2 linked regions of the Arabidopsis thaliana genome follow. The protein of the gene in region 1 interacts with the protein of each later gene in a pairwise test. Each region holds a gene or a part of one and is shown in the gene's direction. Other genes may lie near its edges.

Evidence for each region. Proteins that work in one complex are often made in the same cells at the same time.
Region 2: the proteins of AT3G47120 (region 1) and AT1G31870 interact in a two-hybrid assay, tested with the Arabidopsis thaliana proteins (one large-scale study listed by BioGRID).

The regions. Positions count from the first base shown.
Region 1 is NC_003074.8:17,350,418-17,354,392, reverse strand, and holds AT3G47120 (RNA recognition motif (RRM)-containing protein), read left to right. Parts: upstream 1-1,554; 5' UTR 1,555-1,623; coding exon 1,624-1,796; intron 1,797-1,880; coding exon 1,881-1,990; intron 1,991-2,079; coding exon 2,080-2,267; intron 2,268-2,357; coding exon 2,358-2,507; intron 2,508-2,621; coding exon 2,622-3,059; 3' UTR 3,060-3,432; downstream 3,433-3,975. Other genes in the region: AT3G47130 (F-box associated ubiquitination effector family protein), read right to left, coding at 1-444, 500-679.
Region 2 is NC_003070.9:11,434,763-11,440,810, forward strand, and holds AT1G31870 (pre-mRNA-splicing factor of RES complex protein), read left to right. Parts: upstream 1-1,956; 5' UTR 1,957-2,127; intron 2,128-2,489; exon of another isoform or gene 2,490-2,506; coding exon 2,507-2,702; intron 2,703-2,821; coding exon 2,822-3,734; intron 3,735-4,011; coding exon 4,012-4,079; intron 4,080-4,167; coding exon 4,168-4,232; intron 4,233-4,327; coding exon 4,328-4,431; intron 4,432-4,520; coding exon 4,521-4,593; intron 4,594-4,693; coding exon 4,694-4,874; intron 4,875-4,973; coding exon 4,974-5,059; 3' UTR 5,060-5,513; downstream 5,514-6,048. Other genes in the region: AT-IE (histidine biosynthesis bifunctional protein (HISIE)), read right to left, coding at 9-104, 181-426, 1,616-1,768.

The DNA.
Region 1 (3,975 bases):
ACATGGAGCCTCTCTCCAAGCTTCTTCTCTTCCCAATAACAGAATCTTGTGCTCCATTCTCAAATGAAAACGATCAATTGCGAGCACTTTGTATTGATCTTCAATAGAATCGTACCCAACAAAATAATTGGGGCATGTAAAAAGTTTTGGATCTTCTTTGTACTTGAGTTGGGGAAAAAACTGAAGCTGCCTTGTGCTAGGGTTACAAATCCCCATACTTAGTCTACTTATGCAGATCAAGCCCCGAACCGCATTATACACTAGTTTCCCATTAATTTTAAAGACGTTCAGATCTTTATAAGGTACACAACATGAAGAAGAGGAAGAGGAAGAGGAAGATACGTATGGGTTAGGCGACGAGACTAACATAAGCTTTTTACCGTGAAAGTCCTGAAAAGCAATGAGAAGACGTGGAGGAGCTGAGGAAGATGTAATGTTCAAGTGCTGTTTTTTGAAATATTGGCTGGTGGTGATAGAGGACCAAAGCTTGGAGGCGCACCGGAATCTCAATAAAGACTTCACAGGCAATCTTAAAAGTGTATAGATCTGAAGATCGAGAGGAATGTAAATCGGTGCCGGATAGAGGATCGAGTTTCTTCGCTTTAACCTTTTTCGCTTCCCTTTTCTTAGCCAAAAATTTCTTTTGGTGGATGCACAATAGCCGTAAACACAACTTCATTGTCTTCTTCAAACGTTTCAAAGGCTATTCTAGCGAAACCTAACTTAACCTAATTGGAGTTTTAGAATTTTTCTTTATATATCAAAATTGAACATATTCGCTAGGCCTGGCCATAATAACCGGAACCAAATACCCGAACCGAAAAACCCGAAAAATAATCGAACTGAACCCGAACTCAATTTTAGAATTACCTGAATGGATCCTACACTTCACTACCCGAAAAAACCCGAACCGAACCCGGACCTAATCTAATACCCGTAGATACCCGAATACAAATATAAACCTAAAAATATTAGTTATATATATATTTGTAATACCTCAAACACCAAAAATTAAAATTATAAATCCGAATATACTAGATATTTTTAGTAATTCATATACATTTAGATATATTTGGGATAAAAGTAACCAATGTTATAGTTTTTTTTAGATAATTTAAGTATTTTTGTTACATTTGGTTATATTTGGATAAAAAGTAACCAATATATTTACGGGTAATCGGGTATTTCGGATAGATTTGGGTATATATGAGAAAAAACCCGAACCTAACCCGAACCTGAAAATATTTTGGATATTTTTGGTCATTTTTACATTTTTACTAAAATAACCGAACCGACCCGAATCGAAACCGAACCGAAATTTAAGAATACCCGAATGGTTCTCAATCTCCTACCCAAATAGATCCGATACCCGAAAAAAGAACCGAATCTGAACGGGTATCCGAAAAAAAGAACTGAACCCGAACGGATACCCGAATTCACGTAGAAGATGTAAAAATAATATTAGACATTTATTCTAGAAAGGGAATAGAATAAATGGGCCTCAATCCGGGTCGGTTAATCTAATTAGGAAACGGGTCATTAAAACCCGACCCGCTCAGGCTAATCTCTCATTTCCTAGTTTTAGGGTTCCTCCCGGCAACGAACGCAGAGAAATTTGAAAAGATGAATCCATTGACGCAGGTGAAGAATCTACAGAAGATAAACGCTAGGGAATCAGATTTAGGAATATCTGATGAAGCTTCATGGCACGCTAAGTACAAAAACTCTGCATATGTCTACGTCGGAGGCATACCGTTCGATCTCACCGAAGGTGATCTTCTCGCCGTCTTCTCTCAGTAAGTGTTGTGTTTCGTTTCTAAAGTTTCAATTTTTTTAATGGGTTTATAGGTTTAATGTCTTTTTGTTTTGTGGAATTGCAGATATGGTGAAATTGTTGATGTCAATCTTATTCGAGACAAGGGAACGGGTAAATCTAAAGGTTTTGCTTTTCTTGCTTATGAAGATCAGAGAAGTACCATTCTTGCTGTTGGTTAGTGAAACTGACTCTTGTACATGTGAAATTTACTTTTTTTTTAGGTGTTAGGATTTGTAATTGGGTTCTGTTTTTGGTGATTGTAGATAATCTGAATGGAGCTCTTGTGTTGGGACGGACCATTAAGGTGGACCATTGTGGGGCATACAAAAAGCACGAAGAGGAGGATGAAGAGACGCGACGCCAGAATAGAGAGGCTCGTGGTGTATGCAGAGCTTTTCAGAGAGGAGAGTGTACTCGTGGTGATTCTTGCAAATTTTCCCACGATGAAAAAGTAAGTAAGCGTGATTTTGTACTTTATTCTTTTCAACAGATGATTTTGATGAATGCTTGATAGAAGTTAACCCTTTTTTTTTATGGACAGAGAGCTGCAAATACTGGTTGGGGTCATGAAGAGGATAGAAGTTCCAAGTGGGATCATGACAAGAATAGAGAGGGTCGTGGTGTTTGCAGAGCTTTTCAGAGAGGAGAGTGTACTCGTGGTGATTCTTGTAAATTTTCACATGATGAAAAAGTATGTAAGCGAGTAATCTATTCTTTCGAGAGATGATTTTGAATAAATACTTGATAGAAGTTATAACATACTGTTTATCTCATTTATTTTCTTGAAACCTTTTTTAATGGACAGAGAGCTGCAACTACTGGTTGGGGTCATGAAGAGGATAGAAGTTCCAAGTGGGATCAAGACAAGTTAAATGGTGCTAAAAAGGGTGGTACAAGTTTTGGCAATCGAGGAGATTTCAAACCTGATGTGGAAGAGAAAAGTTACAGAGGAAGGGGTGATGGAGATGCCTCGTATGGCCGCCCTAAAGAGAGAGAAAGAGTGGATAGGGAGGATATGGGGCCAAGGTCAAGAGATGCTTATGATATGAAGGAACAAAAGAGATCAGGACGGTATGATAATGCGTATTCTAGAAGGCACAATGATGAAATTGATTATGTAAGGGAGGACAAGGGATCCAGAGCACAAGATTGGGAGAAAAGGAAGGCAGAATCTAGAAGAGATCGTAACGACAGGGAGGAAAAAGATAGGGATTCATTAAGAAGGGAAGATCGCCGTCGTTAAAGGGGTAGATAGTGGTATGCATACTCAATGGTTTTCAGTTTTAGCTAGTGTCTGTGGAAATGACCTTTGTTCTTTCCAAGAGAGTTACCTGTGGTTATATAAACTGCTTCATTCTGTAACGGGGATTCTATGTTTGTTGTGACACCTGAGACTTGTTGATTTTTCCGTTTGGAATGAAAGAAGTCGTTATATCCTTTTTCGTTTATTTACAGAATTTTTGCTATCTCATTATACCTTTTGTTGTTAGTGGCTGTGTTGACCTGTGGTTACAGACTCAGGTTCTACAGGGATGAGTGACTCTGGCTCTCCTTGTACGTGTCATATGGATGGATTAGTGCAACGCTTGCTGTTCTTGTCATATGCAAATTAAAGAGGTAAACTGTAAATATTTTCCTTTCAATTCCTAATGACTTTGTCTATAAAAAACTGAACAAAGAATTGTGTATAAATTACTGTATCATATAGTGAGATTTGAATTTTTCTTCTGCTAGATATGAATATGATTAAGATACTCTCGAATTATTTATTTTATTGTATTTTGCTGAGAAATATATAGAAGCAAGTTGGTGTATATCGAAATCGTTGATGTCATGGTCACTGCTAAGAACTTGACAAACATCCCTCAGCTACATTTTTATAAGAATGGTCGTTGCTATTAGTGTTAATTAATCAAGTTTTCCTTGGTAAAACTAAAGTATATAGTATTTGATAAGCGTCTGATAGTTGACTTGGGCGAAATGAAGCAGTGAATAATGAGGCAACATGAGAATAAGTCATTGCTCTATTGGACTTTGACCCTAATAGTCAACGAGGATTGAGAATAATCTGCATACCGCAGGCTGCAAGCCCCGTGGTTTTGGAATATCATTACTTTGTTTGCGAGTTTCTAAAAGGCTACTATACTACATATTCCTCA
Region 2 (6,048 bases), on another chromosome or scaffold:
AGGCAAACCTCATCATTGTTTAATTGATCAAAAACCGATGTGTAGTAACAAGTCTCTTCCCCTGTGTGACAGGTAGGTCCATCAGGTGTTCCAAGGTAAATAATCTGAGAAAATAGAGACCAATGAGTTTATGAAGAATAACACTGCATTGATTCATATCTGTGGTCCACGCAAACATACCGAATCACGATCACAATCAACATACACATCAAGAATATTGATGAAGTTATTGGATGTCTCTCCCTTAGTCCATAAGGTAGATCTTGATCGACTAAAGAATGTAGCTTTCCGAGAACTGATGGTTGTGGAGAGGGCCTCCCTATTAACAAAGCCTTGCATCAATACTGCTCCCGTATCAACGTTTTGTGCTATTGCCACAGCTAATCCTTTGTCATCCCATTTAATGCGGTCCAACAAGTTATCTACCTAACACAAGAAAACAACAGAAACCATGATTAGCTACCAGGGAACACAACAGCCGCATATACATTGCTTATTGAGACAGTAATAAAAGGCACAATGGCAACACTACCAACACAGAAAAAAACATTGTCATTTCAATCAAACAAGCCCCTCTCTAATAGTATAAACAGTAAATGCATTATCGGACTAGATATTAAAGCCAAAAGAGAAATGTCTCAATGAAGATTATTCAGGTTGTGGAGGACAGATGTAGCCCATGCCATCACAGATTCAGATGACCAAGCAAACGATGTACACCTTTAGAGAAAACTCCAGACCAAAAGATGGAAACCATCAAAAAGCCTTTCCTTCTCTCTTTTTTCTTTACCAGAGATGTAACAGTTCAAACTCATTTGTCAAAGAGTAGGAACCTGACCATCTCTGGCCAAATCTCAATTGTACATGACGTAACTAAAATAGATTAACAAATGACACATCTTACATGAACCTCCTTTTCTCTAAATTAAAACATAAGTTACTTCGGAAGGCATCACAGTAATTCAGTGATGAATTAATCCAACTCTGAGAGCGCAAGACAATACATATTTCCTTGAAAAGATATCAACTGTGATGAACAAATGGAGCCAAGTCATCACGTAACAAAGATGACCAAGCAAACGATGAGCACCTTGAAAGAGACATCCAAACCTAAAGATGGAAACCATCAAAAAGCCTTTCCTTCTCTCTCTTTTCTATACCAGAGATGTAACAGTCCAAACCCACATGTCAAAGGGTAGGAACCTGACCATCTCTGGCAAAAATCCAAACTTTACATATACAATTTACTCCAGACAATGTTCATAGAACTAAATTACTTTTGGCATAACAATATACTTAAATGCTTTAATAAAATGTGATGAACAGATGTAGCTCAGGCATCACCAAATGCAGATGACCAAGCAAACGATGAGCATCTTAAAAAAGAAATCCAAACTCTAAAAATGAAGCTCAGGTTAAAAAGCTTTTCCTTCTCTCTTTTTTCTCTACCCGACATGTAACAGTAATTACTCATATGTCAAAGAGTAAGCACCTGACAATGTCTGGTTCAATATTCAATCTAAATTCTAATCGTTCTTAGATAACAATTAAACTTAACACGATTCCATTGCAGAACATTCTATCTATAAGTTAAGATTACACAGAAGATGTTTACCTTAGCTTGAAGAGCAATGTTCTTATTATCATTGCACGCGAATACGACATTGGATCTGCTTCTCAGCTTAGTATCTCTAAAGGAATAAGGTTTGGGGATGAAGCAGCTACTTCTCGCTAAAGACTGAGCTAATGCATTGTACGATACCGCCATTTTAACGCTACGAGAAACGAAAAGTGGCGGCGGATTGAAAAAAAAAAGCAACGGAAGAGATTAACCCTAATTGTTCTGAAGTCAATGTGATAGTGAAGGGCTTTTTAAAGACCGACTCAGCAATGTGTGCAAATACTAAAATGCCCCTATTTATGTCTTAATATTAGGAATTACAAAAGCAATCCCTATTAATTGCTTGAAATTTCAAATTCCGCCATAACTTAAGTTTTTCTCTATTCTTCGTCTCCAGGAGATCCAAAAACCCTAGAAGAGCTAGCTCTCCGAGTTATCATTTTCAACTATTCGCGTTGGGTTACTGATATTTTCCCGGTCATCTCCGGCGTTAATTTTCCGATCAGGTTAGTAATTTTACGATTCTATGAATGTATGCTTGTCTTCGTTTAGCTTTCTAGTTTTCTGGAATCGCTTTTGAGTAGATGCAAATTTGTGGATTTGATGACGATATAAGACTAAGCATTCTTTTGTTATTCTCGATTCAGTCTCATTTTCGTAGGGCTTGATTGATGCTAATTTGAGTTTAGCAACTAATTGTTGATTCCAGATTTGGTTTTGAAAGCTATATCTATAATTCGGTCTCTTAAGATGATGAACGGTGGCATTGCCATTAATTCCTGCTTGAACCTCTGGTTCCTGAATTGAATATATCTTCGTCTAGATGTTATGTTTGACTGAATTTTTCAAGTTTATCATTGGTATTTAGGCTCCAAATTCTCAAAGATGGCAGGAAACCAATCTTTAAAAGATTACTTGAAGAAGTATGAAAGTAGTGATGTTGTAGAGAAGAAGAAGAAGAAGAAGAAGCAGAAGAAGCCATCTAAACCTGAACCAAGAGGTGTTTTAGTTGTCGACGAAGATCCAGTTTGGCAAAAGCAGGTTGATCCTGAAGAGGACGAAAACGAAGATGATTCAGCAGGTAAATTGCTTGACTGTTTCTTGTTTCTTGGACTTGTGCATCTGTAATGCTTTCACTTCCCTGATCTAATAACAGTTCACATTTACATATTGTGTTCTCTTTTCATTTGTTTCGTATAGAGGAAACACCTCTGGTTGATGAAGACATTGAAGTTAAGCGAATGAGGAGGTTGGAGGAAATTAAGGCAAGGCGTGCTCATAATGCCATTGCTGAGGATGGAAGTGGGTGGGTAACGTTACCTCTAAACCGTGAAGACACACAATCTAATATTTCTCCTCCACGTAGACAAAGGACTCGTAATGACTCGCCCTCTCCTGAGCCTGGGCCTAGACGGTCGGTTGCGGATAGAGTTGATACAGATATGTCACCACCACGACGGAGAAAACGTCACAATTCGCCTTCACCTGAACCTAACAGAAAACATACCAAGCCTGTTAGTTTGGATTCAGATATGTCACCACCTCGCAAAAGAAAAGCCAGGAATGATTCGCCTTCACCAGAACCTGAAGCTAAATATCTGAGTGAAGATCTATCTCCTCCTCGTAGGAGACATGTTCATTCTCCATCGCGTGAATCTAGCAGAAAGCGTTCAGATTCTGTTGAGTTGGACGATGATTTATCTCCGCCTCGCAGGAAAAGAGATTTACATGGTTCACCTGTCTCAGATGTAAAAAAGAAGAGCAATGATCTATCTCCTCCACGGAGAAGAAGATATCATTCTCCATCACCTGAACCAGCTAGAAGGTCTTCAAAATCTTTTGGCTCGAATGCTGATTTATCTCCACCCGGCCGGAATATAAATATGAAGGATTCTCAAGACTCAGATCTTTCGCCTCAAAGAAAAGCCGCAGATTTGCGACGTTCTTCTGAAAATGTGTCCAGGAGTTCCAATTTTGATAGCTCTCCCCCAAGGAGACCACGCAGAGATTCATCACCTCCTCAAATAAGCAAGGAGCAACGAAAGACCGGATTGATTAGTGGCAAAGACATTGGAAGTGAATATCGAAAGAAAAAGGAGGATGAAAAATTGAGGTAATTATCAGAAAGTAGACTAAGCTTTTTAGAATCTGTTACTGCATTTTAGTTATAGGCATCAGGTTTGTTTCAGTTTCAGTAGTATTGGGCCAAGAGTAGTTTCCTATTTCCTTGAAGTTTCATGTTGCCTACTTCCTAAGTTTCTAAGATTTTGTCTTCTGTGTCTTTAAATAGGGAATTCATAAAGAGACCAGTCTTCAGTAACGATGATTTGAGATTCGCGATTGCATGTTTTTAGGCTACCATCTTTCTGACAAATTATACTCTTCTACAGGTTTAAAAATATGGATTCCGAGCTAACTGGTCAAAACGCAGAAGCAGTGTTCCGTGACAAGATCACAGGTGAGGACTATAGGTCCCTAGTCGTTATAAGTTGCAGTAAGAATGCATAATCTCATGTCTCACACCCAGATACTTATTGATATTGCAGGGAAGCGTATATCAAAGGAGGAATATCTTAAATCGAAGCAAAAAAAAGTGATAGAGAAGCCAAAGGTACTGTGTGTCATTAACTCTATACTCCTCAAAATATGTATATAATCTGAATCTGAGAAAATTAGAGTTACGAATGTATTGTCTAATTCTTGTAGGAGATAAAACTGGAATGGGGCAAAGGTTTAGCTCAGAAGCGTGAAGCTGAAGCTAGACTACAAGAACTTGAGCTTGAGAAGGATAAGCCATTTGCTCGGACAAGGTACTTTATTTATTCTTCTTCTTGAGCTCGAGTTTGAGCTGTTATTACTTGGTTATTTATTCTCACAGTGTTTATCTCTGTTGTTTCAGGGATGATCCGGAGCTTGATCAAATGATGAAGGAAAGAGTTAGATTTGGAGATCCAATGGCTCATTTGGTCAAGGTATTGAAAATACTTCTGCTTACGACAAAATTATGAATAACCATGATTATCTTGTCATAACAGCATTATCCTAACGTATTGCCGAGTTTTTATATCGCAGAAAAGAAAGTACGAGACAACTCTTGTGGATCTAGGAGACGATGAGGAGATGAAAAAATCTGGGTTCATTATACCACAAAGTGTGCCTAAACATAGTTGGTTGACGAGACGGTTGGAAGCTGCATCAAACCGGTATGGGATTAAACCGGGTAGACACTGGGATGGGGTCGACCGTAGTAACGGTAAGCTCCTCTAATACATTTCTTTTCATTATTCACATTCAAAGATTCCTTTAGAAGATTATTTCTCTGATCTGTTTTATCTTTGGTGTATTGGTTCAGGAACTGAGAAGGATCTGATTAAGAAGACCAATGAGAGGAAAGCAACGGAAATAGAGGCTTATCTCTGGTCCGTTGCAGACATGTGAATCAGATTTTGTTCGGCAAAATGTGGTTTGATTCAGGAGATAACCATTCTAAACTGAGGAAGTTTGAATTCTGGTTCTAGTTTGAAATGTGAGATAACTATACATACTAGTATGGCCTGAGTCTTGTCCGGTCTGTCTGATGCAGCCGGTAAGTAAGAAACCAGTAAAAAACCAAACTCAACGTTGAGAAACCGGTACAAAAACAGAACTCGGTTAGTTTAGACTTTCAAATCTTTTTCTCTGATCATCTAAACTAACTGTGAATTGAATACAATCTGAATTTCTTTGAAACATCCTTGTAGAACAAATTTGTTCTAACAATATCGAAGTGGTCCCGAATAAAGAGAGAAAAAAATTCTAAAGTTGTAAGTTAAATCAAACATGATGAACCATCGTTGTTACTTGTGTGATGCAGCATGTAATCTAAAGGTTAGATTCGGCAACTTTATACGGGCCAGGCTAATCACTCATTGTTGTGTAATGCTTATTACTTTAAAGGTTAGGTTCGGGAATTTTGTATGGGCCGGGAGGCCCTTTGAGGGGTTTTATGTTGTTTCCTTGCAGATTATGGACACGAAAAGTTTTCCAAGTTGTCAATTTGTCATTGTGAAATTAAATTACTTCATCGGATTTGATTATTGGTGGTGAATCAACATCTCTCAATAAGAAAAAAATTCTTCAAAGGGTGTACACGCTCTCAAATATACGAACACTTGTTTATTCTAAGACGTGGGTCTATTTTTGATTTTGGTTGTAGCAAAAACTAGTTCACTTGGAAACAATTTTTTACTTTAACTATGCTTTTTTGGTTTATTAAAGTATTGCGTAATGCGCTAAAAAAAACTTAATTTGGTGTTTTGAAAAATAAATAGATTAAGGAAACCTAGGAAATAGGGATTGGAATTTTACGTAATCTTCTTTGGAAGTGGGAATAATCACCTGATGATGCTTTTACCTTTTCTCACGTAGGGCTATATTATTCATTATTC